Tamandua tetradactyla: one gene and its partners. The protein of the gene in region 3 interacts with the protein of the main gene of each other region in a pairwise test. Links are inferred from orthologs where the notes say so. Each region holds a gene or a part of one and is shown on either strand. Other genes may lie near its edges.

The links.
Region 1: the proteins of SAT1 (region 3) and DIPK1B interact in binary tests that used the Homo sapiens proteins (3 or more experiments, as listed by UniProt). The two-hybrid records come from large-scale screens. The link is inferred for Tamandua tetradactyla from reciprocal best matches to the Homo sapiens genes SAT1 and DIPK1B.
Region 2: the proteins of SAT1 (region 3) and HOXB9 interact in binary tests that used the Homo sapiens proteins (3 or more experiments, as listed by UniProt). The two-hybrid records come from large-scale screens. The link is inferred for Tamandua tetradactyla from reciprocal best matches to the Homo sapiens genes SAT1 and HOXB9.
Region 4: the proteins of SAT1 (region 3) and CASP7 interact in binary tests that used the Homo sapiens proteins (3 or more experiments, as listed by UniProt). The two-hybrid records come from large-scale screens. The link is inferred for Tamandua tetradactyla from reciprocal best matches to the Homo sapiens genes SAT1 and CASP7.

Annotation. Positions count from the first base shown.
Region 1 is NC_135328.1:126,292,895-126,300,534, reverse strand, and holds the start of DIPK1B (divergent protein kinase domain 1B), read right to left. Parts: upstream 3,007-7,640; 5' UTR 2,993-3,006; coding exon 2,930-2,992; intron 1-2,929.
Region 2 is NC_135332.1:29,880,683-29,888,385, forward strand, and holds the start of HOXB9 (homeobox protein Hox-B9), read right to left. Parts: upstream 3,004-7,703; coding exon 2,487-3,003; intron 1-2,486. UniProt on the Homo sapiens protein: Sequence-specific transcription factor which is part of a developmental regulatory system that provides cells with specific positional identities on the anterior-posterior axis.
Region 3 is NC_135353.1:150,556,241-150,564,222, reverse strand, and holds the start of SAT1 (diamine acetyltransferase 1), read left to right. Parts: upstream 1-4,968; 5' UTR 4,969-5,168; coding exon 5,169-5,234; intron 5,235-5,545; coding exon 5,546-5,597; intron 5,598-5,695; coding exon 5,696-5,779; intron 5,780-7,175; coding exon 7,176-7,277; intron 7,278-7,375; coding exon 7,376-7,416; intron 7,417-7,541; coding exon 7,542-7,712; 3' UTR 7,713-7,982. UniProt on the Homo sapiens protein: Enzyme which catalyzes the acetylation of polyamines. Substrate specificity: norspermidine = spermidine >> spermine > N(1)-acetylspermine. This highly regulated enzyme allows a fine attenuation of the intracellular concentration of polyamines.
Region 4 is NC_135339.1:75,620,138-75,627,329, reverse strand, and holds the start of CASP7 (caspase-7), read right to left. Parts: upstream 3,004-7,192; 5' UTR 2,684-3,003; intron 2,380-2,683; exon of another isoform or gene 2,248-2,379; intron 1,536-2,247; 5' UTR 1,320-1,535; coding exon 1,308-1,319; intron 1-1,307. UniProt on the Homo sapiens protein: Thiol protease involved in different programmed cell death processes, such as apoptosis, pyroptosis or granzyme-mediated programmed cell death, by proteolytically cleaving target proteins.

The DNA of each region.
Region 1 (7,640 bases), on a different chromosome or scaffold from region 3:
AGGTGGGGGATGGGTGTCAGCCTGGAACCGGGGAACCCACAGGGTCCCAGGGCCTCGAAGCAGTATCTGGCGCCTCCCAGACATCTGGATTTCACGGACAAGTACAAATAGATTTCAAGTGAGGGCTACAGAAGGTGCCAGCTCTCTACTTTGCTAATAAAAGTATTTCTTGAAGTCAAGCAAGCAGGGCCGGTCGGGAGGGTCTGCACACCCCGTGACACAGTCTGCGCTTCTCTCATTGTGCTGCAGCCTGGAAGAATGTTCCGGCTGGACCAGCGCCAGAAACCTGTGGCCCCGGAGCCTCTGAGGGCCACCCAGGTATCCAGGAAGGGGGTCTGGGAGCCTGTGTTTTCACTGGAGTCTCCAGGTTCCTGAAGGGCTCAGACCCTGCCCTCGGTTTCCCCACCTGTCATGTAGAGTGACAACTCTTGGTGTGGATGGGCTGGGGGCACTGTCTCCATCCCAGCGCCCAATTCCAACGGTACAGCCAGGGGCCTACTGGGAGCCCCCCTGCCCCACCCTCTGTGCTCTGGCAAATCAGAGAGGTCTGAGGCATCACTGGCTGGTCCCTAGCAAAGGCTCAGCCCTCCGGGACCCCCAGCAGGGTCCCAGAGAAAAGGAACCAGCCCAGGGCAGGAGGGCAGGATCACAGCTGCACAGCTAGCCCCTGAGAAGCCCCCCTATGCCCCGTGGCTGATTGTTGGGGGCCTGGCCAGCAGATCCCTGCTGGGACCTCAGCCTCAATGGAGCTGGGCAGCTGTGCGGGGTCAGAGGCTTGGGCTCTAGTCTTGCTCCGTCCTTATTAGCTGCAGGGCCAGGCAGGAGTCTGGGGGACCCCACAGGGCCGACAAAGGGCCTATCGGCCCTACCCACCCCGTGGCTGTGATCACTTTCATAGGTTCTTTCAGGACATGTCCCCCTCCTGCTGCCCCAACCCCACTCACACTGCTGGCTGCCCTGGGAGGGCCCGGGGAGGACCCCACCAGCCAGGGAAAGGGCTTGGGCGGCCTTGGGCCAGGGGTGCCTCAGTGGCAGCGATGGGTGAGGCTCAGCCCCCCTCGGACCTCCTCGGGCCCTCTAGTCCCCGGCCCCTCTTCTGTTTCCATCAGAATTGTTCATAATAAAAAACAGGAAAGCAGAGAAAAGGGGGGTGAGGGTTGGGGGGGGCATTTGGCAGGATGAGGTCGGACTTCCGGCTGGTGGGGAACAATGCCCAGAGGCTGCAGTGGGAGGTGGTGGGAACCTCGTGGGGGGGGTCCAAAAGGTGGGGCTGGGGGTCCAGAGCCATCTGCCTAGAATATTGGAATACCATCCCCACCCGGCTGGCTCGGACTTCCCCTCCAGGTGTCTGTCCCACAGGGGCACTCCCCCAGGAGCCCCACCCAGCACTGCCCACCCCCCACCCACAGGGTGCTGGTCCACCCAGCTCCGTCTTATCACTGGGCTCACGCCCCCTTGGTGCTCGCAGGGTGCTGCCCACCCCACCCACCAGGTTCCTGACGCCCCCCCCCCCCCCCGTGGTCGGGTTGACTGGAGGTTGGGGGGGCCACTGCTGGTGCTGGTAGCCTGGGCCCCCCAGGGCTCTGCAGCAGGCTGGATGGAACCAGCTCCTGGCCGAGACCCCGCGGACAATACCTACCGCTCAGGGACCTCGGACCATGGGCCAGGGGCCCCCCCAGGCACATGGCCTTGGACCTTTACCACCAGGCCAGAAGGGCGTTTCGCAGACAGAGAAACAGGCTCAGAGCATTTCTGAAGGTCACCAGGGAGGGTGCGTGGGGCTCACCCAGGGCTCTCCCAGCTGGCCTACCTCCACTAGGAACCCCACCGCCACACCCCCACACCCCAATTCCTCTCCTGCCCTGCCAGGCCTGGGTGGACCCCACTGTGCCCCGGCGACACTTAACCATCCTTCCCTTTCATCTCGGTAAGGGGTGGGGGGGTGGGGGGAGGGGGGGAGGTGCGGGCAGGGGGTGGGGGGCGGAGCAGGTGTGGGGAGGGCGGGAGGACCTTCAGTGACCTGGCACCAGCCTTCCACTGCGGGCAGGAAGTCATGGCACACACGGGGCCCCACACCTGCCTCCCTTGTGAGGCCAGGTGGGTCCTGGGCAAAGGCCATGAGTCCAGGAGGGCCCTTCCTGCCCTGACCCCAGGACAGCCCTGGCTGCCTGAGAAGGTGGGTGGGCTCGACCAGAGCTGGTTCCTTCATGGCAGGCCCTGAGCCTGTAGGGCATGGGAGGGCCCCTTCTGGGATCACCCCAAAGCACAGGGTAGCAAGAGTCCTGGTGCTGGAACCCTGGGGCAGTCAGAAGCCAGGCCTCCAGAGGGAAGGTGACTTGCTCAAGGTCACCGTGGGGTGGGGGGCAAGGCAGACTCTTGCACACTGTCAGCTGGGGGGAAGCCGGGTCAGATGATGGAGCCGGGGTTGCTAGGTCCTTCTTAGGGCCTTTTTTTAAAAACCTTGTTTTCTTAAGCAGGGAATATAGGCAATAACTTCTTTTTTATGGTGTGGGGCCTCAGGAAGCAGGGTCCAGCCCTGCTGAGGTGGGGGGGGGGGGCTTCCTTTCGCCCAGGGGCAGGGACGTGCCATCGCAGCATCCGCAGGCGGCATCCCCCCCCCCTCCCCAACCACCCCTAGGCACCCGGAATCCCGAGCCGTCTCCCAACGCCCTACCCCACACCCAGCCCTCATTAACCCCTTTTGTCCTGACACCAGTGACCCCCGGCCCCGCCGGGCCCCACCCCCACGGCTGCCGAAACCACTGGGGTCTCCGGCGCGGCCCGAGCGCGCCGCAATAGGGACCCGGGCCTGCACTGCCGGGGGCGCACGGCCCGGGTGGGGGGCCGGCGGCTGGAGGGGGCGGGGAGGTGGGGCGGGTGGGGGTGGGGAGCTCCGGGCCAGAGAGGGCGGGGCCGGGCGCCCCGTTACCTGCAGGCCTTTGGAGAACGGGCAGAAGAGCACCAGGTGCGCCAGGCGCCGCAGCCGCCGCATGGTGGGCGCGGGCCGGGGGCTGCGGCGGGGCCCGGGGCTCACCCCGCACGGCCCCGCTCGGCCCAGCTCGGTCCCGTCGGCCCTGCTCAGCCCCGGCCCAGCCGCAACGGCCACGGCGCCCTGGCCATGCGGGCCGGTGCCAGCTCCCGCCGCCCGGGAGCCGCGCCGCCTCCGAGCCCGAGCGGGCTGTGTGCGCCCCCGCCGCCCCCGCGCGCCCCCGCCTGCGTTAAAGGCGGCGCGCGCGCCTTTCTGTCGGCCGACCGCTAGGCGGGGGCGCGCGCGGGAGGGACTCAGCCAGAGGGAGGTGCCCGGCCTCGGCTCCCCGCGCTTCCCGGGCTCCGCACGCCCCAGCTCTGTCCCCGCGGGAGAGGAGAGGGAGGAGCTCCGCCAGCGCGTGACAGCCCCTCGCCCCTTAGGACATTTCCAGATGGCCCCGGCGGCCCCTGTGGGGAGAGGGACGCGGTGGTGGGTGTGGGGGAGGACGGATGAGCAGGGACCGCCTGCGGGGCACTGGGGCGAGGGAAGGGCGCTTGGCGGCAGCCTGGGAGGGTAGCCTGTTGGATGGAGCCGCAGGCCTGGCTCCGCTCCTGAGCCGGGGTGGAGGGACAGTGGACGCCTGCGGGTGCGCGCATTTTCCCCCGTCCTTTCTGTTAAGACGTCCTTGGCAGGCAGAAAAATGCTCCTTCTTACTTTAAAGTTCCCAAGTGTTTGCAGACCACCCTATCCCTGTCAGGACAGGGACCTTCCCTTCACCGAAAATATGCGCCCCAGGGCCCCCTTCTAGCCAGGCCCTCCCCTCCGGTCCTTGGCAAACAGTGATGGGTGTTTTGTGACAAATGGTACCGTGAGATGGCGGTGCAAGGAGCAGGCTGTGAATGGGTAACAGAGGCTGGGCTGCCTGGGGACTGTTAGGGAGCCCAGGCCACCTTTCCAGGTGGGGATGGAGGCGAAAGGAGCAATTGAAGTGGTCAGGGGGTTCAGGGCGACTCTCCAGTGAGGATGGAGGGCTGGGAAGGAGATGGGCATTGGGGTGGGGGAGGGACAGTCCAGGGTCAAGGCTGCCTCCCCAGACCTGGGGTGGTACTCTGTCTCACCAGGGGCAGGAGTGACTGTCCCCCCCATCCAGACAGTAGGCCCAGCCCAAGGGGGCTCCTGACCTCTCCAACCCAGCCAATCCCATTTGCTGATGCTTCTCTGGAAACCAGGTCTGGGGAGGGGAGGGGAGGGGAGGGGAGGGAAGGCAGGGCCGGGAGTTGCCCTCGCAAAGGGCAGACACAAAGCCCACCTCTGGGCCTGGGGTCTGAGGATCCCCCCACACACACACTCCATGAAACAGACCAGGAATGGAGGCCCCCGTGCCTCTTTGTCATGGTGCCAGCCTCCCTATGCCAGGCCTGCCCTATCAATAGATTATTTCCCCAGCGCTGGGAGCCAAGCCTGGGATTCTTCCAGGGTCACTGGGGGAAACACCCGCTGGCCAGGGGAGGGGAGCATGGGGCTGGGGGTTGGGGGGAGCTGCACTGGGCTCCCTGCACTGCCCCTAGACAGGGCTGCCCTTTGGCCCTGGCATTTCTCTGGGCCAGTCTGGTTGCTGGTGTTCGACAGCTTCTCTTTTTTTTGCATGGACAGGCACTGGGAAACGAACCTGGGTCTCCGGCATGGCAGGCGAGAACTCTGCCACTGAGCCACCGTGGGCCCACCCTTGGCAGCTTCTCTTGAGCCATCGAGCCTTGGAGGATGTGGGAGACCTGGAAAGCAGGACAGCCCCAGGCCCAGCACTTACAGGCTGCAGGCAGCTCACGGTGTGTGTGAGAAGCCAGTGGCTTCTATCCCTCTGCCAGGAGTGCAGGGGACTCGGTGGGGGGGGAGGGGGGAAGCGTCCCAAGACTGGGCCTCTGGGCATGGTGGTGAGCGGCCCTGCCCGTTCTAGGACCCCGACAGAGGGTGGGTGGTGGGCAGGCAGGCTGCGCCCTACTCCGCCCAGAAAAATAGCAGAGCCCGGGGCAGGCCATGGTGGCTCAGCAGGCAGAATTCTTGCCTGCCATGCCGGAGACCCGGGTTTGATTCCCAGTGCATGCCCATGCAAAAAGAAAAACCAAAACAAACAAACAGAAATAGATAGCAGAGCCTGGAGGATGGCCCAGTGGTTCCGGAATAGGAGCCGCTCATTCCAGAACCATCTGGGGAGCATGGGAGATCCACTGTTGTGGCTTGAATTGTACCCTGAAAAGACACACTCAAGACCTCACCCTAGTCCCATGAGCGCGACCTTTGGAAGTTGGGTCTTTGAAGATGGGACCAGTTAAGATGAGGTCACACAGGAGTACCCAAAGAGGAAAAGGCTTCTCCCTGAAGGTTTCACAGGGAACCCGCTCCCCTCCCCCCAGCCCCGGCATCTCGTCTTCTGGCCTCCAGAGCTGGGGGAGAATGGATGTCTGCCGAGCCTCCTCACCACTTCTCTGCAGGGCTGGCAGCCCCAGGAAACTGTTGCACCCACTTCGGCAAGATAACTGTATCCATTTTCTATTGCTACTGTTACAAGGTAGTGCAAACTTAGCTGTTTAACCCAACACAAGTGTAGTATCGCAGACTCCTGTAGGCCAGAAGTGGGGTTCGCTGAGCTGGAGTCTCTGCTTGGGATGTCACAAGCCAAAATCAGGATGTTCGTGGGGCCCTGGTCCTTTCTGAGGCTCAGGGTGGTGAATCGCTCTCATGCTCCTCCAGGGCATTGGCGGAATCCACTTCCTTGTGGCCGCGGGGCCCCACTTCCTTGCTGGCTGTTGGCTGGGGTGGCTCATTTCTAAAGGGCCCCCGTCTCCCTTGGCTTGTGACCCCCCTTTCTCTGCGTGCAAACCCAGCGGCGGCCAGCCAAGTTGCTCATGTTTCCTGTCCCTCCGACCTCTCTTTCTCCCAGGATGTCCCACCACCTCTAAGTCAAAAGCCTCGGGGGCCCCTGCAAAACCCCTTTCGCCATATTCCCAGGTCGTGAGAATGAGGGTGTGGGTGTCTCTGAGGGGGCATTGTCCCCTGCCTGAGGTCTAGGAGGGGACCTCGGAAGAGGGAACCTGGTACCCCCTCCCTGGCCCACCTGTGGCCCAGGTCTGGGGCTCAGACTTCTCCTCTGTAAACTTGGCCCCCCCCTGGGCTCCCTCCCCAGCCGCTGCACCCCCACAGCCCCCAAGCCTGCAGGGAATTCCAACCCTCCCTGGAATACTTGGGAAGGCTGCAAGCCAGATGTTTCTGTGCCTGGTGCTGATTGCTTCCATCAGTCTCCCCACCTCCCCTACCCCTAGGCTGTCTGTTTTTACCTTTTAATTGGAAAAAATTTCAGACTTAGAGAAAGGCTGCAAAACAACACAAATAATTTCTATGTTCCTTTCACCCACTTTCCCCAATTGTGGCATCTTACCATATTTGCTTTATCATTCTCTCTAGTTCTTTTTTCAGGAACATATGAGAGTAAGTTGCCACCACAAAGCCCTGTCACTTCCAAAGGCATCAATATCTGTTTCCTTAAAACAAGGATATTTGTCACCATGACACTGCATGGTGCTCCAAACCAGGAATGAAGATTGATGCAATATTTTGTCTAACCCACAGATGTTCAGAATTCCTCATCAGAATTCCTCTGACATCTTTCACAACAAAAGAAAACACTTTTTTGTTTGTTTCTTTGTTTTTCGGTCCAGGACTGCATGAAGTCCCCAAAGCTTCCTCCACCCTGGGACAGTACCTCCAGCTTTCGCAAAATGTCATGACCCTGACGTTTTGGGGGATTATGGGCCAGTTGTTTCATAGCATGCCCTTCGATTTGGCCTGCTGCTCATCCGTGATTAGATTAAGTGTGTGCATTTGGGGTAGGGATGTCACAGAAATGAACCTGTGTCTGGTGGCCATAGCTAAGTTGTGTCTCTGCTCAATCTGGAAGGAAAAGACTTTTTTGCCCCTTTGTATTTAAAACATATCTTTCACACTATGGAAAAAGCTTGTTTCTGACGCTGGTTTCCGCATCTGTGGATGATTCTTTCTTTACTTTTTTTTTTTTTAATTAATTTAAAAAAAAGAAATTAACACAACATTTAGAAATCATTCCATTCTACATATGCAATCAGTAATTCTTAATATCATCACATAGATGTATGATCATCATTTCTTAGTACATTTGCATCGATTTAGGAAAAGAACTAGCAAAACAACAGAAAAAGATATAGAATGTTAATATAGAGAAAAAAATAAAAATAATAATAATTAATAAATATATATAAAAAAGGAAAAAGAAAAAAACAAAAGACACAAGCAAACAAAACTATAGCTCAGATGCAGCTTCATTCAGTGTTTTAACATAATTACATTACAATTAGGTATTATTGTGCTGTCCATTTTTGAGTTTTTGTATCTAGTCCTGTTGCACAGTCTGTATCCCTTCAGCTCCAATTACCCATTATCTTACCCTGTTTCTAACTCCTGCTGGACTCTGTTACCAATGACATATTCCAAGTTTATTCTCAAATGTCGGTTCACATCAGTGGGACCATACAGTATTTGTCCTTTAGTTTTTGGCTAGACTCACTCAGCATAATGTTCTCTAGGTTCATCCATGTTATTACATGCTTCGTAAGTTTATTCTGTCTTAAAGCTGCATAATATT
Region 2 (7,703 bases), on a different chromosome or scaffold from region 3:
CCAGATATGGGAGATGAGAGAAGGGGTTGAGGGGAGCTTTCTGTTCAGCCACAACCAAGAGACCTCCAAGTCCCTCAGTCCACATACAACCTTGCCTAGATCACCAGGGTGCTTGGCCACATGGCAGCAGGCGTTGTGTCTGTGTAGACACCTCCCCCCGACATACACACCGCAAATATAAGTCCACAGTTAGAGACGCAAACATCCAGCACACTCCAATTCACAAGCAACCCAATTGCAACCATTTATCAATTCCAGTCTATGGGCCAGGGAGCACCAGGGACTCACAGATAACTTATGGTTGTAATAGTCTTTCCTCTTCCATGCCTGCTCAGCTCGCAGTTTGGTTAATACAAGTTCAGGGAAATTGGGGAGCAAGATTGCTCCATTCCCAAGATGGGGAGCCAGGGATGATAGGGAGTTAAGAGAAAGCTCTTCACATCCCACCTAGCCTTAACTGGCCCCAAGTTGGGGGGGGGGTTGCGCAGAGAAAGGGGTAATTGAATGGAGGAGGGGAAGAAAGGAAGAAGTAAAAATTGTACAGACTTCTTGTTCTTACCTTCTTCCCTTCCTTGGAACTGAGAATATTCTCCAATTAAAAACCAAGCCAATTAAAAATAACAGCCACCCTCTGTTAGCTTCCTTCTCCCCAAATGAAAAGCATTGACTATTTAAAAAAGTAATAATAACCCGGTTCATCCTACACTAAGTACCGTGTCTTACCAATTTGCAGCGCTATTTCCTTAATGTGATTGTCTGGGATGGGACCCGCAGTCACATTAAATATGAAAGAGGGGGGAAAATCTGTTAATAATTGATCCTAGCCAAGCAGTTGCCTTGCAATAATGGGCTTTCCAGGCAGAGTTCCGGGGTTTGAGGTGTGGGGTCTGTTCCCGTGCGTGCGGGAGGATTTGGGAAGAGCCGCATCCCCCCAAAAGCCAGCTCTTGTGATTCAACCTGGCAGGTGTGAGGAGGCAGGACCCTGCGGGGATCTCAGGGAACTGGACAGTCCTCCCCTACAGCAGGCAAGGACTCCACAAAGAGCCAGTGGCCACTGTGTCACTGGGAAATCTGGCAGGGCAAGTGGAGGCTAAAATATCTGCCTCTCACTGCCCAAGAAGAGTAAAGGGTTGACTTGTGCCCTCCAGCCTGCGGGTTATTGTTCAAAGCTGAGTCCCTAACTGATGTGCCTTTCTTTTTTTTTTTTTTTTTTTTTTTTTTTTTTTTTTTTTTTTTTTCTTTCCTGTCAGGGAGTGTAGGCGCTGACTGACATGGCATAGAAATTCCGGGCTATCTCATCTAAGTGGAGAGGGGAGGAGTTCAGAGGGGCAGTTGGAATGGCTGAAAATTTTTGCTGATGTGCCTTTCTTAACCTTAAAAAAAAAGAAAAGAAAAGAACCGCGATTTCCCCTCTCTGTGAGCACCACTTCCTGGAAATTAGCCAGACTTGGGGTCCCGGCAGGGGTGCTCTTGGCGGAGTGGGAGGTGACGAGAAACTACCAAACTACCGACAGAGGATAAAGTTCTTCGCCTCTGCCTCTCGGCATCGCGTCTTCCTCTCCACCCCTCCTTTCCCCAGGGGCCCTTCGGGATCTCTTCTCCTTCACTCCCGCGGTCAGCCCCGAAGTTCCGAAGCGATTCCCCCACTCCCCGCAAAACGGACAGCCCCGGTTGGGGCCAGGGAGCCCCGTGGACAGCAGCCGGGGCCGCAGAAAGAAAAGCGGCCACCCGGGCGAGGATGCCGAGGAGGGGAGGGGGCGACCGGAGGGAAGGCTCCTGGGGAGGGGCCGGCGCATCCAGGGAGAGGGCTCAGTCACTGCGTCCTGGATTGCCCCCGCCCCTCTCGGCGCCGGCTCGGGACCCGCTCGGCTACTGCGCAAGATCTGCTCTGAACAATCCTCGGCCAAGCTGTTGCATCGCAAATAAAATCCTAATGAGCCCCCTCCCCCTTCCCCTTGGCCGGCTTTTACGGTCTGCGCGTGGCGCAGCGAGCTCCGCCAGCGGCGCGGTCCCGAGCAGCTCCCCTGTTCCCTCCCTCGCCGCGCGGATTCTCGCCCTCGCTGGCAGACCGCCCCGGCCCCCGCCAGTTCCTCTGCCGACCGTCGCCGGCCTCCTCCCGGGCTTTCAGCTGGGGCCTCCGGGAGAGAGGGGGAAGGGAGGGCGAGAGAGCAGCGAGTTGGTCCCCGCGCCCCAGTTCCCTCCAGGACTTGGAAGAGTGGGGGCGGTGCCCCTCAAGTGGCCTCGGTCTCTCTTCTGGGGCGCCCAGCTTCCTCCCTGCCCGCTTTTTTCTATTCTTCCTCCTCCCCTCCCTTCCTTCCTACCTGCCTGCCTTCCTTCCTTCCCCCCATTTCCCTCCTCCCCCGCTCGCTCTCCGGCCACCGCCGCGTTTTCCTTCACATTGTCCGCAGTTTATTGCCTCTCCCCTCCCCTCCCCTCCCCCTGGCCTGGCCTTCGGCCTGGGTATTTCCTCACTTTTTATAACTTACTTTGATCCGGCCTTTCTTTGTCCTCGCTTCCTTCGCAAATTTTATTGTCCCCGTAGTTGGGTCTTTGATTAGACAGGACAGCCTCCCTGCCCGCCGAAGTTTCCAAACTGTACTCGGGTGTGCCCTGTTTGAGCAGCTCCCCAGGCGCGCCCAGCAGCGGCTCCGCCTTCACGGCTGCCTGGCCCTGCCCCGGGGCAGCCTCGCCGCGCGGCGCGGGCTCCAGCCAGGTGCGGAGGTACCTGCTCTCGGCCGGCGGGACGCCCTGGGGCTGGATGTAGGGGTGGTAGACGGACGGCAGGCTTCCGGATGCGTGCGGGCTCAGCGGCGCCCAGGAGGCGCCGAACACCGGCGCTTTGGGCTGGAAGCTGCACGAGGGGAACTCCAGGTGCTCGGCGTGGCCCGGCTGCCGCGGGCTCGCGTACTGGCCGGAAGGAAACTTGGCTGGAGGCGCGTCCTCACTCTCGTGACTTATGATCGAGTCGACATAATAGCTGCTAAGCGTCCCAGAAATGGACATTCTCAGACATTATCCGGGCGCTCGCAGGGGGAAGGGAAGCGCTCGCGCGGCGGCGCCCAAGCAGGGAGAGGTGGCACCCGGACCGGTGTGAGGGCTTTCGGACGCGACCCCCCCCCAGCCCCCCACCCTCCCACCCCCACCCCCTGATCAACTTCTCAGCCAACAAAGTACAGTGGAGCAGCCTGGCTCAGCGCTCCTTGCAAAATGATTGGTCAAAGTTTTTCCGACTGCCTGATAAAGCGTCAGCTCCGACATAAATCAATCGGGCGAGGGGGCTGCGCTCTCGCTGTCATCCGTCCGCACCGCATTCCATATCGAGGATGGATTGTTTTATGCTGATGCAATGTGCTATCACGTCAGGGCTCCGGCGGACACGTAACCTCAGCCCGAGCTGCCGGCCTCCTGGTTGCCACCCAACCCCACCCCCCTTTCCAGGAAGGGGGGGGCAGTTCTCGACATGGGGCGGCGGGGGCGGAGGAGAGGCGGAGGGAAAGCAGCGGGCTGCCTCGGGAGGGACGCAGGCTGTGGAGCCCTCTCCCCAGGCGGGTCGGGTAGGGAGGAACGGAGGGAGGGAGCGCAGGGGCTAGAGGGAGGGAGAGAGCCCGAGCCAGAGGAGCAGCCAGAGAAGCCCGTCAGGATAATTAAAGAGGAGGTGGTCTCGCCCCCCCCTCCATCCCGCAGGCCCGCGTTTCCTCTCCTCTGTCCCCTTGACATAAGATGTTTATTAAACAACAGCAGCAGCAGCAGCAATCCACTAGAGATGAAGTAAAGGGGATGGGGGAGAAGTTGAGATTTTATGGGACTTTATCAGCTTTGGAGGGAGCTCTCTGTGCACTATTTTTGGACGTTTGCAGGCCTTGCTCTCAGCACTTTCCCTGACCCCTCAGTAGCTGAGGGAGGAGAGAGGGGAATAAAAAGGGGTGGGTGCCCGGGATCCGCTATCTATCCTGAAATTAGAACCTGACTGAGGTTAAAGGGATTCATCAAGGCCTGGAAACTTGAGCCTCCAAAGAGTTTAATACAACTAGCCAAACGCTCCTTTAAATCTCTTGGGCCAGTCTCTGACGCTGGCCAGAGGGATGGACGGGGGGCGTGGGGCCCAGCCGTTTCTCTCTTCCTTAACTGAGTAACTGCCAGAACCGAAAATTGCCCAGATGGTGGAGCTGAACGTGAGAAAGGGTTAAGGGGACCTCCCCGAGGTGTCACTTGAGTGGAGCCATGGGAAAGGGCACCCAGCCAGCATGGGAAGGGGTCCCGAGTTATCCCCACCGCTACCCAGTGAGGAAAGGCAGAAGGCCGAGTTTTTGGTTCGCTTGCCCTGGCGGGGATGCAGCTCCGAACCGATTTATAAATACCCGTATACGCACCAGCGGTAGATAAGGAGTATGGCTGGGTCACAGCCTCTGCCCTCCTGCCGCCTGGGCGCCCGCGGACCCCCTTCGTGGTGCTTTCAAATAACGGGTTTTATTGGCATCTACTATGCGGCCCTGTGCTCGGACTCCACTGAGGACACCGGCTGACTTCCTGGCTCATCTCCCAGCCATTTTCTCTCCCAGCCCCTGCTCTGGTGCACCGCCTCTTAAGGTTAGGGGTGTATGGGAGGCGCAGTCCCTGGACAGACCCAGTTCCCCTCGGCTGGGTTGAAAGGTTGGGTTGGGACTCATTTTCTTTCGCAGTTCTCTGACCTTGGGCTGTTACACGGAAGGCAGCTCCCAAAGCCCCAGCCTTACTCCCAGCCCCGTCCCTTTAACAAAACCAGGGGCCATTCTAACTTGGGGCTGCATCTTTTTTGGCCACGTACCCCTCGGCCATGCAGAAAGCTGCAGATCACCTCCGCACACGCACAGACGCATTCCCGCCAGCTTTTCTTTCCAAATGAAGCCATCTCGTGTCATTATGTGTGAAATACGAGGGCGAAGCGCCATATTTCTTCACATTATGGCGATTTCAAAATGATTTTTTAAAGATCAATGCCGGCACCCAGCCGGCCCCCTCCTTTTTCACCCCCGCTCTCCGAGGGCGATAGCCCAGCAGATCCAGAACCAAACAGCGTGAAGATCTGTTTTTTTTTTCCATGGGACTCAAGTGGGGAAACAAAAAATCCATGCAAATTCTTCTAAGTAGCGGTTGGATGCTTGGGAAAGTCGGGGGAGCTCCCCAGATCTGCCAGCGAGAAAGCTGGGCGCAGAACGAATGAATCACAGTTAAGGCAAAGCACCTGTTCTTGATTTGCCAGACGCATGGAGTCAGCTGTCGGCATTACCTGTAATAAATATATCCTTTAGGAAGAAAAAAAATCCACCCCCCATAAATAACGGTGTTATGAAGCATGGCGGGCTGAGTATATGATTTTCTGTAGTATATAAATTAGGGCCCAAAAGGACATGTGAACTGTGGGTTGGTCCTTTTTTATTTATGGAAAAGTCACAGCACTGGGCTGTTCTTAGGACCAAAGCTGGGCAGGCACTGGGCTCTGACAGCCACTCTCTGAGTCCCCAGCCCTTGCTTCCCAGCCACCTCTTTTTGTAATAAGGGGAGCCAAGAAAGCCACTTAGTTTAGGGAAGTGGTTAGAAGAGAAGGACGTTTCGGCTTAGGGCTTGTGACCTACCAGGGAGAAATGTTCCAGCAGACAGATTTCAGATTTTGTGGGCTTCTGACTGCCCAGGGAGTTGCCCCTAACCTCTGATGGTTCCTGTGTGTTGAGTGAGGAAGGAATCCTGGCTTCTCTTCTGAGACCAGAGTTTAGCCTCTGCACAAGCAGAAGCTGGCTGGTGGAAACAATTTCAGAATAATAGGTTTTGAAGGTCTCAGTCTTCTCGGGAGAGGTGACTGGAGGGAAGAGAATTAACTGCCCCCAAGCCCTAGAATCTGCCCTCTCCCCCCACTCCCAGTTCATCTCCCTCCAGGTGGGGCTGCAGATGCACCAAGTAATGTTTCCCAGCCCAACCAGGCCTCCTAAAATGCACTGCTGCCTGAAGCTGGTGCTCAGCTCCATCTCTGGCAAATATTTTAATGGATAGGCTGAGAAGGAGGCTCTTTCCTGGGGTGCTCTGGGGGCCTGTGGACCCCCCTCCCCAAAGATATTGTTTTCTCCCCAGACAATGGTATCTGTCATGATAGAAGGGGGAACAGGATTGCAGCCTCTAGAGCCTGACTTCTAAAGTTGCTTAAGCGAGGGGGTCACTTCCATGGGGGTCACCATGCCATCTCCACCCCACCCCCACCCCACCCCCAGTCCTAAAGAGGAGAGAAGGAAAACCCTGCCTTCCCTCCCAGCCTCTTGCCATTTCCTGCGCAGCAGCCGCGCCTGAGCACAACTGGAGCTAATAGCTCAGGGAAGGACAGGAAGGGAAAAGCTACATTCCCTGGTCTCACTGGGGCCCAGAGCAGCCAAAAGCAAAGCCGAGGTGGGGAGAGCAGAGGCGGACCCCGGCCAGGACAAGCTGGTGAGTGACTGAGGTGGGGCGGCTTTCGGAAGGGTTCTTGTCACTACTCGGGAAGAAAGAGAAAATCTAGAGGAAAGGAAGATGAAAGAGAGAAGAAAAATGGAAAACAAGAGTAATAAATGGGAAAAAGGAGAAAATAGCTTGTTTTTAATTAATATGTTAACCTGAAATTTAAGCATACTGTATTTGAATAGATGTGTGCGTCCTGTGCATATGTTTCAAATAAATATTTCTTTATGGGGAACCAGTGTGCAAAGGCACTGTGTTCTACATTATGCAGAGAATACATAATAAATAAATCTACCCAACTATAATACTGGACGTGCTTGAGCATCCGTTTATGAGACCTAATCATCCATATAACCCCTGTGAATGATGTGGGTTTACAATTCTGCTCATATATAATCTATAACCCAAAGAACTTGTTTGTCCATTTTTATAACCATAACACCTATGGAGAGAACAAGAAACTTAGGTATATGTGTATTTGAATTGCGCCTGTAAAATCTTAGTTGATTTGAAGCCTCACTTGAAAATCTGGCCCTTGGCTTGATAATCAAGTGGGATATACACTGTAACCTTGAAAAATACATGTAACAAATCTGGATTTGATTCAACTTCTTCTCCAAACATTTCTTCAGATGGTGAAGGAAATATATTGGCCCAGAAGAGGTCATGAAATTTCATGACTTTTTTTTGGCCGAACATGACATCTTTTTCCGTACGTTCTTACCCAAAACTGCCGGGACCGTTCACATCGGTTGATCCTCATTTCAGGGTAATGATGGGCACGGGGGTTTAGGTACTGTAACCTGTTCATGCGTGTGTCCCACACAAGTGTGGAGGAGAGACGGGGAGAAACAAGCCGGTGTGCAAACCCTCGCATAACTGTGTCATGCAAAATCACCCCTGGGTACAAAAAATTAGAAAAGTCCCCAAATCTATGTTCCCAAGCACCCAGAGTTATTTCTTTTGACCCAAGACTAGTGTCCAGACCCACTTTGGAAAGGAGCAAGGTGTGGGGACACTTGTTCCACGGAGAGGAAATCAAGTCCCCCAAACCCTCAGCCTTCACACAAATAGCCTCCAAAACAGGGATTACATCGAATCTGCACACCAGTTCAAACTTCGGTTCTTCCACACTTCCTGAGTGGGGGTGTTAACTGTAAAGTAATGAAATCTGCCAAACCTCCCTCCCAGGATGTCAGAGGTGAAAGGAAGGACGGAGAAGTCAGCAGCCCAAGTAGACCACA
Region 3 (7,982 bases):
GATGAATCTATTAAAAATTTTTTTTCTTAATTCAAACTGGAGTGTACACATCTGGTAAGTCACCTCAATGCTACACTTTCATGTAGTGATGACTTGAATTAGGGTATTTCTCTGACTCGTGAACAACAATAATGTATCTTTTCTGACCCAGTAATTTCACCTCAAAAAATCTACATAAGAAAGCAATTAGAAACCGGGGCCAAAATTTGGGTGGAAAGATGCTCATCAAAGCATCACTTAATCACTGAAAAAACGCAAAACTGAATTTTTAACAATAGAATGGTAAAATAAACTGTACACAATGGACTCTAAGCAGCCATTAAATTTTTCCTAAATTTTAAATATATACCCAATGACATGGGAAAATACCCTATAATGTCACAATTATGCCAGGTGCTGCTTATACGTATTACCACATTTAATCCTTACAATTAACTGTATGAAATAGGTGCATTATTATTATTTACTCTTCATTACAGATGAAGAAATGGTGACTCAAGAAGCTTAAGTAACCTGACACCATCACAGGGGTAGGGAGTGTCTGATTCCAAGCCTGTAGTGGTTAAGAGATCCCTACTATCCTAAGAGACTGCCAGAAGCTGCTCCCATACAAACTCCTTCACAGAAGGAGAATTACAGAGGCCACAGGACTTTCTGTTCATGGGGGATTCCTCTCTGAACATCCAGTCACCGAATTTGGGGCATCACAATACCGTCATTACTTCTGAGCTAAGAGCTGTCCTAATACTTTGAAATGATCCAAAGCTCATCACATACATTCTCCCCTCATAGAGAGAGTACATACTCATAATCTGAAAGGGAGAGCAAAGTCTCACATCCAAGCAAGTGACTTAGAATGACAACCTTTAGTATGAGGTCAAATACTAGTTGACTCAGTAAGTACTTTTTGGAAGGCAGAGCTGAGTGCACTAGTATGGCAGAAAAAGAAGGAACTGAATGGTCCAAGATGGCCTTACTTATACTTACGGCACTTGGTACTAGCTCAGCTGGACCCCTTTCTCTTTTGGGTCTTTCATCCTCAAGGACGTTAGTTCAAACTTCTTCATATGGCAGCAATATTCTGAAAGGGTGTGAGCAGTGGCTCTAAGATCTCTTGAGGCCTTGCTTAGAAGCTATGCAATACCACATCTACTGCATTCTCTTCGTCAAAGCAAGTCACAGAGCTAGTCCAAAGCAAGGGGTGGGAAAATACACTCCACCTCTTGATGAGAGGAGTTACAATGAATTTATGGCCATTTTATATCCACCATACTGTATATACTACCTGAATATCAGCCTTGTGCTTAGAAAAGAAGCCTGGAAGAAAATCAACCAATTATACAGATTAATTTTTGTAAGCCTTTTGTATTTCTACATATCTCAAAATTTAAAAATCAGTATGCATTACTTTTATAACATAAAGAAAAATATGACACTTTCCACAATAATTTAATGGAGCAGGCTGGACAGTTTCACTTTGGCATCAAAATGAACAGAGTTCCTTCTTTTCTAGCTCTTCCACTTCCTGGCTTTGACAACTTCTTGACCCCACTAAGCCTGTATTTTTCAACGGCAAAAATGGAGATAACTTTACCTACTTCACAAGATAGTTGTAAGGATCAAATAAGACAATGAATGCAAAATGCCTAGAAAAGTGCTTAGGTGTTTTTCCATCCCTTTGTACTCTCCCCTCACTAGGTCCTCCTCAGTTACAGTTCTTTTCCTCACGAAGATTAAGTTTTGTTGTAGTAAATTACACACATGTCTCCAAAATTAAACTGTATACCCTGAGGACTGGATTCAAAACTTAGTAATCCTCTATAACTTCAAAGTACCTAGCACAAGTCTGATATGTGCTCATTAAAACCTGTTGATTCGTGGACTTATTAACCAAATAAAAGTTTTCCAAATGCTTGGTAGTTAATCCCTTTTTATGCAGGTTTCAATATAAATCCTGGTATCAAGAGGGAGTAATGGTTCATCCCTACTGCTGCTATCTATGATGAAATTAATCTAAAAATCTCAAAAGCACAACTTGAATCACTGCCACGAAGAAAATTCAAATTACTTAGGATTCTAAGCTTCTACAGATGCACAGACACACTCACGATGGGATTTTTTTAGCCACGTGTTTCTCAGAATGGGCTTTTCTTGTCATAAGGACAAAGCGATGCATAAGAGCATGAAACTTAAACTGGAAAAACAAAATACATTAAAAGAAATAAGAATGCATTTTAATAAGACAAACACTATTCTAAAATACTAAACAACCCAAATAGGAAATGGTCTTTTTTTGCTCCAACTAGGCAGCCATCATTAGTGCTTAGTCATGGAGGTCTAACTCACTGTTATCAGTAAATCTGTAGTAAGTTCCCCTAAATCCTATAATATTTTAGACAGAAGCAGAGGAGGAAAGGGCTTCTGAATGGTCATCCATGAGGTGTAGCCCATAGTGTCAGGAAAGATCCTACCAGCAGTAGTTTAGGCAGATGAGAATCAATCCTATTTTTAAAGAATTTTGAGAAAGACATGTCACAAATTCCCATGGTGATTCACTGGGCGTGCAATCCTGGGAGGGTAGGATGAGAACATATTTTTGCCTTTTCTACATGCAGATTATTGCTAGCAAAGGCAGAGAATCACTTCTTGCATGTTAGGGTGGTCACTTAGTAATAGTCTGCCCTGTCATCCTACAGACTGAAGACACTGCAGGCCCCTTTTATGATTTTTCTCATTGCGAAAATCATCCTTTAACTCATGGCTGAGCCCAGGCAGGGCTGCTGGAACAGGCCTCTCAGCAGGGTCTGCTTGGAAAGGTGGGTGTGTAAAAGAAAACTCATTCTGCAGAGGCTCGCATTCTTGTTCAGTGAGTACAACCCAGAAGAAAACGATGCACTATGTTCTAGTTTGCTAGCTGCTGGAATGCAATATACCAGAAACAGAATGGCTTTTAAAAAGGTGAATTTAATGAGTTGCTAGTTTACAGTTCTAAGGCCAAGAAAATGTCCCAATTAGAGCAAGTCTAAAGAAATGCCCAATCAAGGGCATCTAGGGAAAGATACCTTGGTTCAAGAAGGCCGATGAAGTTCAGGGTTTCTCTCTCAGCTGGAAGGGCACATGGCAAACACGGCATCATCTGCTAGCTTTCTCTTCTGGCTTCCTATTTCATGAAGCTCCCTGGGAGGTGTCTTCCTTCTTCATCTCCAAAGGTCGCTGGCTGGTGGGCTCTCTGCTTTGTAGTGTTGCTCTCTCTGAATCTCTCTGAATCTCTCATTCTCCAAAATGTTTCCTCTTTTATAGGATTTCAGAAACTAATCAAGGCCCACTCAAATGGGTGGAGACATGTCATCCCCTAATCCAGTTTAACAACCATTCTTAACTAAATCACATCAACCAGGGAGATGATCTCATTACAGTTTCAAATATACAATATTGAATAGGGATTATTCTACCATTAAGAAATGGGATTTATATCAAAACATGGCTTTTTCTTAGGGGGCATACTTCCTTTCAAACCAGCACACACTAGTCCAGGGGTTCTCAAACATTTTGCTACCATGGCATTTAAAACCTGAGGGCCCCAAAGAGCTTACCTTTGAAAATTCTAGAAAACATAAGAAGAATATGCAAGCACATATTCCTTAGTTATCAGAGTGCTGATGACATCAAACAGCTGTGAATTTATACTTGTTTTGAAACAGAAAGTTAAAAAAAATTAAAGACGCACAGAGGATGAAATAAAGTTTATTTCCTAAATATAGGATTACATATTTTTAACTGCAGTTACAGAAGGAGAGAGAAATGGAGTAGAGGTAATATAGGAAGAGTTACTGCCTAAGAATTTTCCAAAATTAATAAAAGACACTAGTCAGTCGATTCAAAAAACTTAATGAATCCAAAGAAAAATTTAATTTCTAAAGATCTATTCCAACATCCATCAGAGAGAAACTGAAGAACACCAGATACAAATAAAAGACACAAAAATACTCAGCAGGAAAAAAAAACAGGTATTAATTTTAAAAGAGTGACAACGCACTTTTCAACAGCAATGGAAGGCAGAAAATAGTCCAATGATATATCACTATGTTGAAAGAAAATAACATCTAACCTCAAATTCTATAAGCAGTGACCAAAAAATCCTTCTAGAATTTTAAGATGAATTAAAGACATATTTAGACAAAACTGTGAAAGTCTGACAAAAGACAACGTTCGAAAGGAAATATAAAGAATTTACCTGAGGGAGAACGAAAGTGTTTCCAGCGGGAAGGTCAGAGATTTAAGAAGGAATAAAAGGGGGGGGTAAGAATGAAACCATTTTGTTAACTCTAAAAAAAATTTACAAGTATAAGAAAACAATGACTGAGGAACCCAAATAGCTTACCTTAGAAATTTCTAGAAAACACAAGATTATACAAGCACCCATTCCTTTAGTCATCAAAGGTATGACTACAACAGATCAGGTGGCGCCGGGGAAATTCCAGTGAGAGTAACAAAAAGCAAATGACGTCTTTCTATTACTATGAAAATAGTTTTGTCATCGTCCCGGGACCACACTTTGAGTGCCGTGCTTTAATTCTTCTCCAACTACCCAAGGCCAGGTCTCTTGGGTTTGCTTCACCGACTGCAAAGAAGGTTGGGGGCGACAGGGTGAATTCCTTTCTTCACTTTTGCAAAGGTTACCCCGGGGCGCACGAACCCCGTGGTCGGGTCTCGGGGAAGGTAACACACGGCACCACTAGAGGGCGCCGCCAAGCAATCCTTTCACCACCCCTCCGCCGCCACCCCCGCTCAGGCCTGCGGCGTTCACACGGTCCTCCAGACACCAGGGCGATGCCGGGAAAAGGGAACGGTGCCCCAGGGAAGCGGGAGAGGCGGATGGGGGGCGGGGCCGAGGGGCCGACCGCGGTCTCATTGGACGAGGTGCCTTCGCCTCACGGCCCTGGGCGGGGCTTCCTCGCGCTCAAAAGCTCTGCTGGTTCACTGCCGGGACGCGCAGTTTCAAGTCGCAGCTTCGCGGAAGCTCCCCCGCCGCTACCTTGGTTCGCTGGGTCATGGTGCCAGCCTGACTAGAAAGAGGAAGCTCCCGGGAGACGAATGAGGAACCACCTCCTCCTGCTGTTCAAGTACAGGGGCCTGGTCCGCAAAGGAAAGAGAAGCAAAAGACGAAAATGGCTAAATTCGTGATTCGCCCGGCCACCGCCGCCGACTGCAGTGACATCCTGCGGCTGATCAAGGTAGCGGGAGGCCAGGGACGCCTCCCGGGGCGAGGGTTGAGGCGGGGGCCGAGGGGGGGCGTCGCTCCGTTTCCGGGAGGGTCCGCGTTTCCCAGCCTGGGCTGGTGTCCAGCCAGTGCTGCCCCATTCTCCGCCCACCTCCCCCAGTCCTGGCCCGGCAGGACTCAGGGGGACGAATCGCCACCCCTCCCATCCCCGCCTCATTCACTGGTCGTCCGCCCTCCCTCGACTTGATCCGCCCCTCCCCGAATTGGCCGGAGCCTCACTTTGTTTTCTGCATCTCTCCCTTTCTCTTTTCTGCCTCGCCCCAGGAACTGGCTAAATATGAATACATGGAAGAGCAAGTACTATTAACTGAAAAAGGTAACACGGCAGTGGGGAGGAGGGGAGGAGACGAACGCCCAGTGCCGGGCACCCTCGCCGAGGCCAACACTGTCCCTGCTGCCCCTTTTTTCTTGCAGATCTGCTAGAGGATGGTTTCGGAGAGCACCCCTTCTACCACTGCCTGGTTGCAGAAGTGCCCAAAGAGTACTGGACCCCGGAAGGTATCCACCCAACCCCTTGCCAGTCAGAGACCGAGTGTTGTGTAAAACGTAGCGCCTGCTATGTAGAGCCACTGACTACACAGGTCGAGTTACTTATTGATAAGTCGGTTAGGAATAATAGCCAGCCAGTGTTGAGGAAAAAAGAAAAGAAAAAAAAAAACCGGAGATGTGCTGCACTTAATAATAGGGCGGGTGAAAGAGCTGTTTAAGTATCAGAGCACTGCGGAAACCCGCAAAAGTTAGGTATAATGTCATTTGTTGTAATTCCGTTTCATAAAATGGTTCTTGTTTGACCCTAACGTAACCTTTTTTTGTAATTGTGTTAAATCACATTTTTTTCTTTAATTTGTCCCAATCTTCAGGTTACAGTCTCTAGCTTCGCCATGTACATGGCCCTTCCGTGTACATGGATGGGCGGGGAGGTAACTAAAAGATCCTTTACACAATAAAGTAGATGATCATGATAAATGAGGTAAGGTCCTATTATCACACACTTAAAACACGGTAGATCAGAAACTCCATTACACTTGCTTCCTGTGCTTGCAAAGGAATATAAAATGGCTAGAAAGTTTTAATTTGAAACCTTTGCCTCCCTTTGGAGTTATAGACACCCATAAGAGGGAGTCAGATGTTTTGTTTTGTTTTGTTTTGTTGCTGGTCCCTGTTAACTGGTCACAAGACAGAGCTAAAAAGGGGAAGTTCTTTGGGTGGAAGCTTTCTTAAATGTTTTCTGAAGTTTGTTCCCCAAGCTAGAAGAAATGAGCAGAAAATAGGAGGGATGAAGTACTTTTTAGATGTGAATGTCAAAGCAGCTTTTTCTGGGTACCACTGCTGCTTCTGGCCTCAAAACTGGGGAGAACAAATTGAAAATGTGTGAATTGGAAGGCAAGTTTGGAAATGAAAACGTTGAGTTTTTGGCCTGATGTTCTGACCTTAAGGAAGCAGAGTTTCGAAAAGTACAAGTATTTACTATTCTGAACTGCCGTGTAAATCTGACTTACTTCAAGTCAACATACCAGTATATCAGTGGGATGTAAATAATGTGTGTGTTTCGTTTAAGACCCTAGCAGTTTAGCTCTGGCAAGTAATTAAAGCACTCTCACTTCCTGAGTGAGATCCAGCAGATCTCAGAGTGGCTAGTTCCCTGACCTAGCCTGGCTTCAACTAGCTTTAATGTGTGCTTTTGCAAATACATGTTATGAAAACAGTGAGATCATCCAACAGTGGCCCGGACTGCACTAGTATAAAAGTTAAAAGACAGTCCATTTCAGTGGCTACTCTTCAGTATTTATGCATGTATGTTTTTTTATACCTATGATAGGCTTCTAATTTTGCAGCTACAACTTTGATGGATTATTTTTCTTCTCCATTACTCATATGATACTCTTAATTGCAGGACACAACATTGTTGGTTTTGCCATGTACTATTTTACATATGACCCATGGATTGGCAAGCTATTATATCTTGAGGACTTCTTCGTAATGAGTGATTATAGAGGTATGGTTGAGTTTGGGGCTGGGTCAGGGGCAGTTCTAAGGGGAAATTTAGGGCTTTAAGTCCTTAAAATGACTTTAAAATTGTATTCTTTCTTTTAGGTTTTGGCATTGGATCAGAAATTCTAAAGAATCTAAGCCAGGTATGTCTTAGTTTTGGGTTTCCAAATTAAGGGTTACTGGATTATTTTAATGACTGAATCAAAATTGGGTCTTGGAGAGCAGATAAGATGTCACTGAGTTTCTATATTACTCTCTCTTATAATAGGTTGCGATGAAATGTCGCTGCAGCAGCATGCACTTCTTGGTGGCAGAATGGAATGAACCATCTATCAACTTTTACAAAAGAAGAGGTGCTTCTGATCTGTCCAGTGAGGAAGGATGGCGACTCTTCAAAATTGACAAGGAGTACTTACTAAAAATGGCAACAGAGGAGTGAGGAGTGCTAATGTAGACAATGACAAGTTCCATTCTACTTAGAATAAATTTTCAACCTGTCTTGCTTTCTATCCTGTTTGTAGTAGAGTAATAGAATGAGCACCCATTCCAAAGCTTTATTACCAGTGGCGTTGTTGCATGTTTGAAATGCAGTCTGTTTAAAATGGCAATTGTGTATGCAGTTTGGAGTCATAGTTTTCCTTGAACATCTTTTGATTAAACAAGGTGGTGTGATCTTAATATATATGAAAAAAACTTCACTCTTGTGAGT
Region 4 (7,192 bases), on a different chromosome or scaffold from region 3:
TTCCTACCCATTTGGACTTGGCTACAGAGAAGCAAAGTTCAGGCTGATTATAATGGCTCAAATGGTAGGAGGCTTTCCAGAACTTTCCCTCCAAACTCAAGGCTCTAAGAATCTTCTGTTTAAAACCTACAGCATCTCTTTAGGTTGACACTGAAAACTGTCTGGGGGAGGGCGGGGGTGTGTGTGTGTGCGCAGAAAGCTTTCCTTCCAACAATGTGCCAGAGAGAATTTCTAAAACAGCTCCATAGTGGGGGTACTTTATTCTTTTAAATCTGTGAAACTAAGCATTCATTTTCTCATTCCTATGAGACCAGGTGTGCTTTTTGGAAACAAAGGACATTCAGAGCCCAGGATGGTGACCGAGTAGGGTGCCTGATGTCGGTCACATCATTTTAGCCAAGAAGGAAGAGGCTGCGAGAACCAAGATCTGCTTTTGACCCTTTATTTCTGCTCATTCTCATAAAACACCAAGAAAATTTAGGCCTTTCTCAGTTCTACCATGTTGCAGGGGACCTCATCTGGTGTCATTTTCTGTATCTATCCCCTTCTTAGGGTCCATGCCTCAAAAAGTAGTCACTGGAGGATAACTTATTTGATAATCAACCCATCCCTCTTCTCTAGAAATGAATGACCATGCTATACATAAAACTCTAACAGTGGCAGGCACATAGTATGCACTCAGTTATTGCTGCTATTTTTAACACCACTATTTATCCATTAGGTTTGTAGCTCTTTGCAGAATGAATGTTTATCTTAACCATCTTTCTTATCCCCAGTCATGGAAAAGTGCCCGATCCAGGGCAGGCACTCAATACATACTACCTCATAAATCTTATACCTGGAATGTATTTGTAAATCCTTCAATGTCTTGAATAAACTGCTGACTCAGAGCAGACAAAAGAACTAAAAGAAACCCAGGAGGGTGGTTGAGACCCCAGGAGTGGTGAGTGGGATATGCTTCATAACTGCCCACATGTTGGGGCAGCCAGTATTTATTGTGGGTAGGAAATCATTTCCCAGTCACTGTCTGGAGTTGGAAGGCAGGGCATGCTCCAGGCCCAGTGTCTGAAATGGTCTATTAAAGCATGGGCATAGCTTATATACATCCTTCCTAGCCATTTGGACTTGGCTACAGAGAAGCGAAGTTTATACATATATATATAAAATAGAGACAGGGGATGGGCTCATTGCAGCTGCTTCTCCTGAAAGGTCATATAATATGATTTGCATCCCATTTCCTGATCCAATGAAGGCAATCTTCCCAAAAGGGCTCAAGAATAGAGGCCCTGAAGATCTCCTCCTCTCACCTCTAGCACCATGGGAGGGCTGCTGGGCAGGCAAATGCTCCACTGTCTCCTTGATCCTCATCACAACTAGAAGACTGTAGCCTTTACCCCTCGGTTTCTTCAGAGAGGTTCAGAGAGGTTAAGCGACTGGCTCAAAGCCACACAGTTAACCGGTGGCCAAAGATGGACTATGAATCTAGGAGCAGCAGCACGGAGAAGGAAGGTCAGGCCTGAGCTGTCTAGAAGGTCCTGAAGGGGGAAACCACCTGTTAGTAAATAAAGGTTAAAGGCCACTGTGGGCTGCTCTTAAATCCAAGGAAAAGGAATGGGAATGACTAATCTGGAACTACCCAGAGGCAATTTTCCTGCCCAATAAAACCGCACAGCTGAATACAACCGTAAGGGTTGCAAGGTCCCCTGCAGGCTGAGTGTCCATACACCTCCAAGGTCCCCTGCAGCCTGAGTGTCCATATCGCCTGCCTTTTCTCACCTCCCCAAGACACCTCCATGGGCCCTGCAGAAAGGTTACCCAACAATGGCAGTAGTTGGAGTGCACTTAGCAATGCACCAAATCACATCCTTCCGCATCAGCCCGGGATCACCAGTCTTACGAAGCACAGGGAGGGTCAGGGGACTGGAACCTAGGCTTTTCTGACCCCGGAGCCCTCGCTGTTAACCGCCCTGACAGATAACCAGCTCCTCCTCTTCCAGATCCCGAGCGTACGGGGTGTCCCAAGTCCCCGGCCAGGAGGAAAAGGAGGATCCGCTAACAAAGTACGCGACGCCGCAGCGCGGAAGATTCCTTCCCCGAAGCTTCAGCGCCTACCGTCGGGGCCGCCTTCCCCCCACCCGGCGCACTGAGCGGCGGGGGAAGTGCAAGAAACCCCGCGGGAAAGCCAGGGAGGAAGCGCGCCGCGGAGAGGCGCGGGCCGAGGCGGGAGGAGGCGGGAGGCGCAGTTACCTTTCCCACGACGGTCCCGACGGCCGGAGCTCGCAGCCTCCTCGTCCCTCTGGAGCGAGGGTCTGGGGCCGCTCTACCGAAAATGAAAGTAAAATCCCCAGCGCCGCAGAAGGAGGGGCCGCCCCGGGCAGGACGAGAAACCGGGCGGGGCTGCGGGCGCCGCCTGCGGTTCGGGAGAGTGCGCCCCGCAAAGCTCGGTCGCGCGCGAAGTGGCCCGGGCCACGCGAAGGGGCAGCAGGCCCTGCAGACTCGGCCGCGCGCCTCCCCATGCCACAGCGCCACGTCCCACGGCTGCCCCCTTGTCTGAGACCTCCACCCGGGGCCTCTGCACAGCGCGGGGCCCTAGCTCTCGCAGTCATTAGCTCTTGTCCAACCAGACCCTTGACCCCAGCCCGTGCGGCTCCGGTCCCGGTAGGGTGAGGCTCCGCGTGCATACCTGCCTGAGTTACTTTCTCCCTAGGCCGAGACCCCTCCGGCCCGCCGGGGGTGTGCTGTGGTGTCCGGCTTCCGGGACTTTGTTTCCACTCGCCGGTGTGCCCTCCTTCGCGCGTGGGCGCAAGGATGCTAACTCAGCTTTCTCTTAAGCAAGTCCCAACCCTCGCTTTACAGCGCGCTCGGCGCGCGGTGCAGCCAGGCTCATTCACGAAGTATTTATGGAGCGCCCTCATGTGTCAGGCACTGGGTATGTGGCCCTGAGGAAGTCAAGAATGAGAGGGACAGGGGCTTCCACTGAAACACCTCACCCCTGCCCCGACACCCCGCTACCCCTCCTCAGCGCACGCGCGCACGCGCAAACACACACGCGTCCTTCTTCACCCCTGGGTTTTCGTTGGAGCCCTCTAATGTCTTTCCCAAATCCCTCAGAGGAACAATTAATTACCTCAGGCACTGAAGTGTAACTATCTGGGAAGAAATTGTAGTTTTATTCGTACCGGAGAGATTGGCTTTTAAAGAACCATCAAAGCCCTGAACCAAAGGAGCTCAGCCTTCATGGTGGACTTCAGGCAAAAACCAGGTCTTGTCTCTGCCTGCTTTCTCCTAGGACTGAGACTTCACTGTTGTCTCTAAAATCTCACCAAGGGCACTTTCTTGGTTTGAAGAAAGACTGGCCTAGGTAAGTGCAAGGGAGTAATTAGTTATAATTAACTTCTGTGAAAATTCTGAATTCCTGAATATATTTACATGCAGCTATGCCGTTTCTAATGATTGCTGCACTGCTTTTTATTTAATACCCATTTCCTGAAATTTTGGAACCATTTTAGGCACTAAGATAATGAGCTTTTCAAAGGAATTCAGTTGTGAATCATTTGAGAAATGAAAAATGCTATTAATAAAGCAAATAAATTACTTTCAGCATGCGAATGTTAAAATATGTTAACACAGGAATTCATTGCTGGCCCAATTGGAAAGGTGGATTGAAGGAAAACTTTCTTTTCTCAGGTTTTTATTGTAGACTGGGGTGAGGAACGCCAAAGTTATTGGTCTGAGTCTGGATTATAGCCGTAGCAAATAAAATTACGGAAACGTGGAAGGGAAGAAATTATTTGAAACTTTTCCCTCAATAATAATTGAACTGATAGTTTTGATCCGTATGATATTCTCTTCTAAATGCATCTTCCGTGTCTCTCCATTCTTAGGCCAATTAATTATCTTCTCCTTTTTATATTTACATGATTATAACATGAGCCTTTTCTCTTCCCTCACTATTCTGATGGTTTCCTGAGACTTGGCCTCACAAGGGCCCCTCCACTTTTTGCTCACCAGGATATTGCCCTTAATTCTGGTGAGTCCCCCACTCCTGCCCTACTGGGCACAGCACCCCCAAGTGGTGCTACCAGGGATTGCTACTCACAGTTTCCACAGGACAGTTCAAGCCCAGCTGTGACTTTATACGTGACTCCACCAAGATCCCCAGAAATATCACTCTTAAATCCAAACTCTGGCCCTTGGGGGTCACCAGAAAGCCTCTATGAGCCCAGATGGGAATGAAAGTCCCACCAAGGAGGTATCTTCCCCACTTAGGGTCCAGCAGAATCCTTTTCTTCCCTGAAAGGAGGCATTCCTGTTATATCTGTCATTAATCTGTCATTAATTATTTGGAGCCTCTTGGCTCCAAATGCATCCTTTTTTCCTGGCTGTGAAAATGTAACTGGGCCCTTTAAGGATTTTTCCTTTCAGCCAAAGCCTGTTTCCAGTAGAGGGCGCTGGAGAGACATTGCGGGAGGAAGAGGTTTTCCTTCCTGGTCTCCTCCTGCAGCACGGTGCTCGTGCATCAGGAGTAGCTGCCCCAGCGCCCAGTTCCTGCAGCACAAGTGGCTTCTCCAGTGTCCAGGTCCTGTTGTGCCTAGTGGCCAGCAACACCTGGCCACACCCAGCAGCCAGCAACTTCCTCAGGCACCCCTCGCAGGTGGTTTTGTGGCAGAGTGCTTCCAGTGAGGATAGCTCTCGCTGACACCTAGAGGGCGAATACCTGGAAAGTTCCAGAGGACATATTTCTAGCAAGTTCCGCTGGCACAGTACCACAGTGACTTCTCTGCCTTCTACAGCAAGGTTTGGATCTCAGACCTGGGAAAAGGAGGTGGGGTGGGGGTGGGGGTAGGGAGGGAGGGTGTCTTCTTTGGGCCCTCTATCTCAGTTCCAGGGGTTAGTGGTTATATTATATTTTATCTTGCATTAACTATATTATATTATTTTATGTTATGTTTTATATTATATCTGGAATTCCTATTTTTTTGGTGTTCTTTTTACTTCTTACTAGCCAATATCTTGATATTCCAATCCTCTGTTATAGTTAGTAATTTTTTTAATTTTATTATTTATTTATTTATTTTTTGGTGGGAGGGAAGTCCATGGTCCGGGAATCTCCAGCATGGTAGGCGAGAATTCTACCACTGAACTACCCTTGCACCGGCCTAGTTAGTAATTTTTTATATCAACTTTTCCCTGTTCAAATGACTGTGTGGGTTCTTTCTGCTGACTGTACTACAGGTAAATACAGTCCACTTGTATACCCCAGTCTATAGGCTGTCTCATTTCTCACTCTATGGCCTCAGCAGTGGGAATATCTATTTCTTAATTTGTACAGAAACCTCCACTCCACCCACATGGTTTGTTGTGGTCCCCTGGCCCAGGAAAAGGCAACCTCAGGGACTGGATTACATCCCCCAAGGTCTGAGCTATTCAGACTTGAATCGCTCCATTAGACTTAACTAAGTCCTATTCCTTTCTCTACCTTTGTCTTTCCTCTCCCTCCCCAAGAAAATATCAGGTCTGGGCATTCCACTGGCTCCTGTGAACAATCCCTTAGAAACAGAGGTTGGCAAACTCTGCCCTGGGGGCTGCCCATGGTCTGTATTTGTACAGCACACATGCCAAGAATGGTTTTTGCATTTTTAAAGAGTAGAAAAAAAAGAGAGAAATAAGATGTGACAGAGACTGTAGGTGGTCTGCAAAGCCTTTTGACGACTCCTATATTAGGCAGAAAAGGACAATCACAACTCCAAAGCAAAGAGTAATTTTTAACTAAAAGGTGGTCTCAAACCAGATTTAGGTTTCAGGGGAGGGAAAATATTTCTCTAACTTTCCTGGGCAGAGTCCTTGTTGAATCCTATTAGCAAACAAATTGTTTAACATCTCAGAGTGAGGTGTGGGCATTAGGTAACTTCACCAACATTCAGGGATTCATCGGAGTAATAGATGAGTAGATACTTGCTTGATTATCATTGCCAGCATCTCGGCCTCACTGCTGCAGGGAGCTGAGCTCTGAAACCACTGACACCCCACCACCCTCAGCCACTGCCCCCGTCTGCAGGTGCTCATGGAACTTCACTCCGTTCCTCTAACCCCAGGCAAACATTCTCCAGCAATCTTCCCCAGGAGTCCTGTAAGCCCCAAAGAGAGAAAACGAGGGTGGGTGGGGCCGTCTGACCTGGGGAAGAGCTAGGACATTGCTTCCTGAAGTCTCCTGTCCAAAGGCGTGAAAGCAGAGGCTTGAAGGAGCCTCCGGCAATTGATGCCATCATAGTGCCTCTCATATAAACACTTTCTCGGCACCACAGTCACAGTTTCTCTGAGTGACTCTTGGGGTACCCCATGCCACATCCCCTAGGCTCACTGTGTTTAGCTCCATGCATGTTGCCAGCCCCTCCTCTCTGCTTCCCTATCTCTGGGCTTTCTCCAGAGCTGCAGAGGTTTCTTCAGCCTGAGCAACCAGGGGCTCCCTACAGATGCAGGGAATGAACCCTCAACCAAGGGTAGAGGGGAGTGGGTGGACAGGTGCTCCAGCTTGCCATCCTTTGGTGGGACATTCTACGTGATTCAGCAGAGGGTCCCAGTGAGAGTGAACCCTCAGCTGCCCTCAGCAGTAATTAGGTCAGAACAGACCCTTTATTGATACTACCTTTTCCCTCACTTGCCATTTGTCATCTCTATGTAATTTCACAACTGTTTCACATTCACTGCCCTAGTGGGCCCTGGAAGTGATTCAGACCCGAGAAGAATGAGCTCATCCCCCAGATGACAGAACCAAGGTACAAAATATCTTGGCCTGCTAAAGCAAGAGGGTCACCATCAACAAGAGGAGATTTAAGCAAGTTAAATAAGGAATGCTGTTTTTCAGTTTAAAAAGGAAACTGATTGTCTATATACTGAATATAATAATGAGATGAAAAGCTGTGTGTAGATTCATCGATGACCAGCTCCTTATGAGTCAAGGTTTATCAGTCAAGGTGACCTGGGGTTGTGTTGGCAGAATCATCCAGATCAAGGACAGATAAGCCTCCATGTGGTCTGGTTCTGGCTCATCACCGCCAAGCCCAGTCCTGGACTCTTGCTGATGGGACAATGTATTGGATGCCATTCAGGGACTACTTTAGATCTGCTTGGCTTCACCCGTCTTAGGGCCTTTGGCTACTGCTTCCAGCCCAGCCTCTGCTGTGACCCTTAG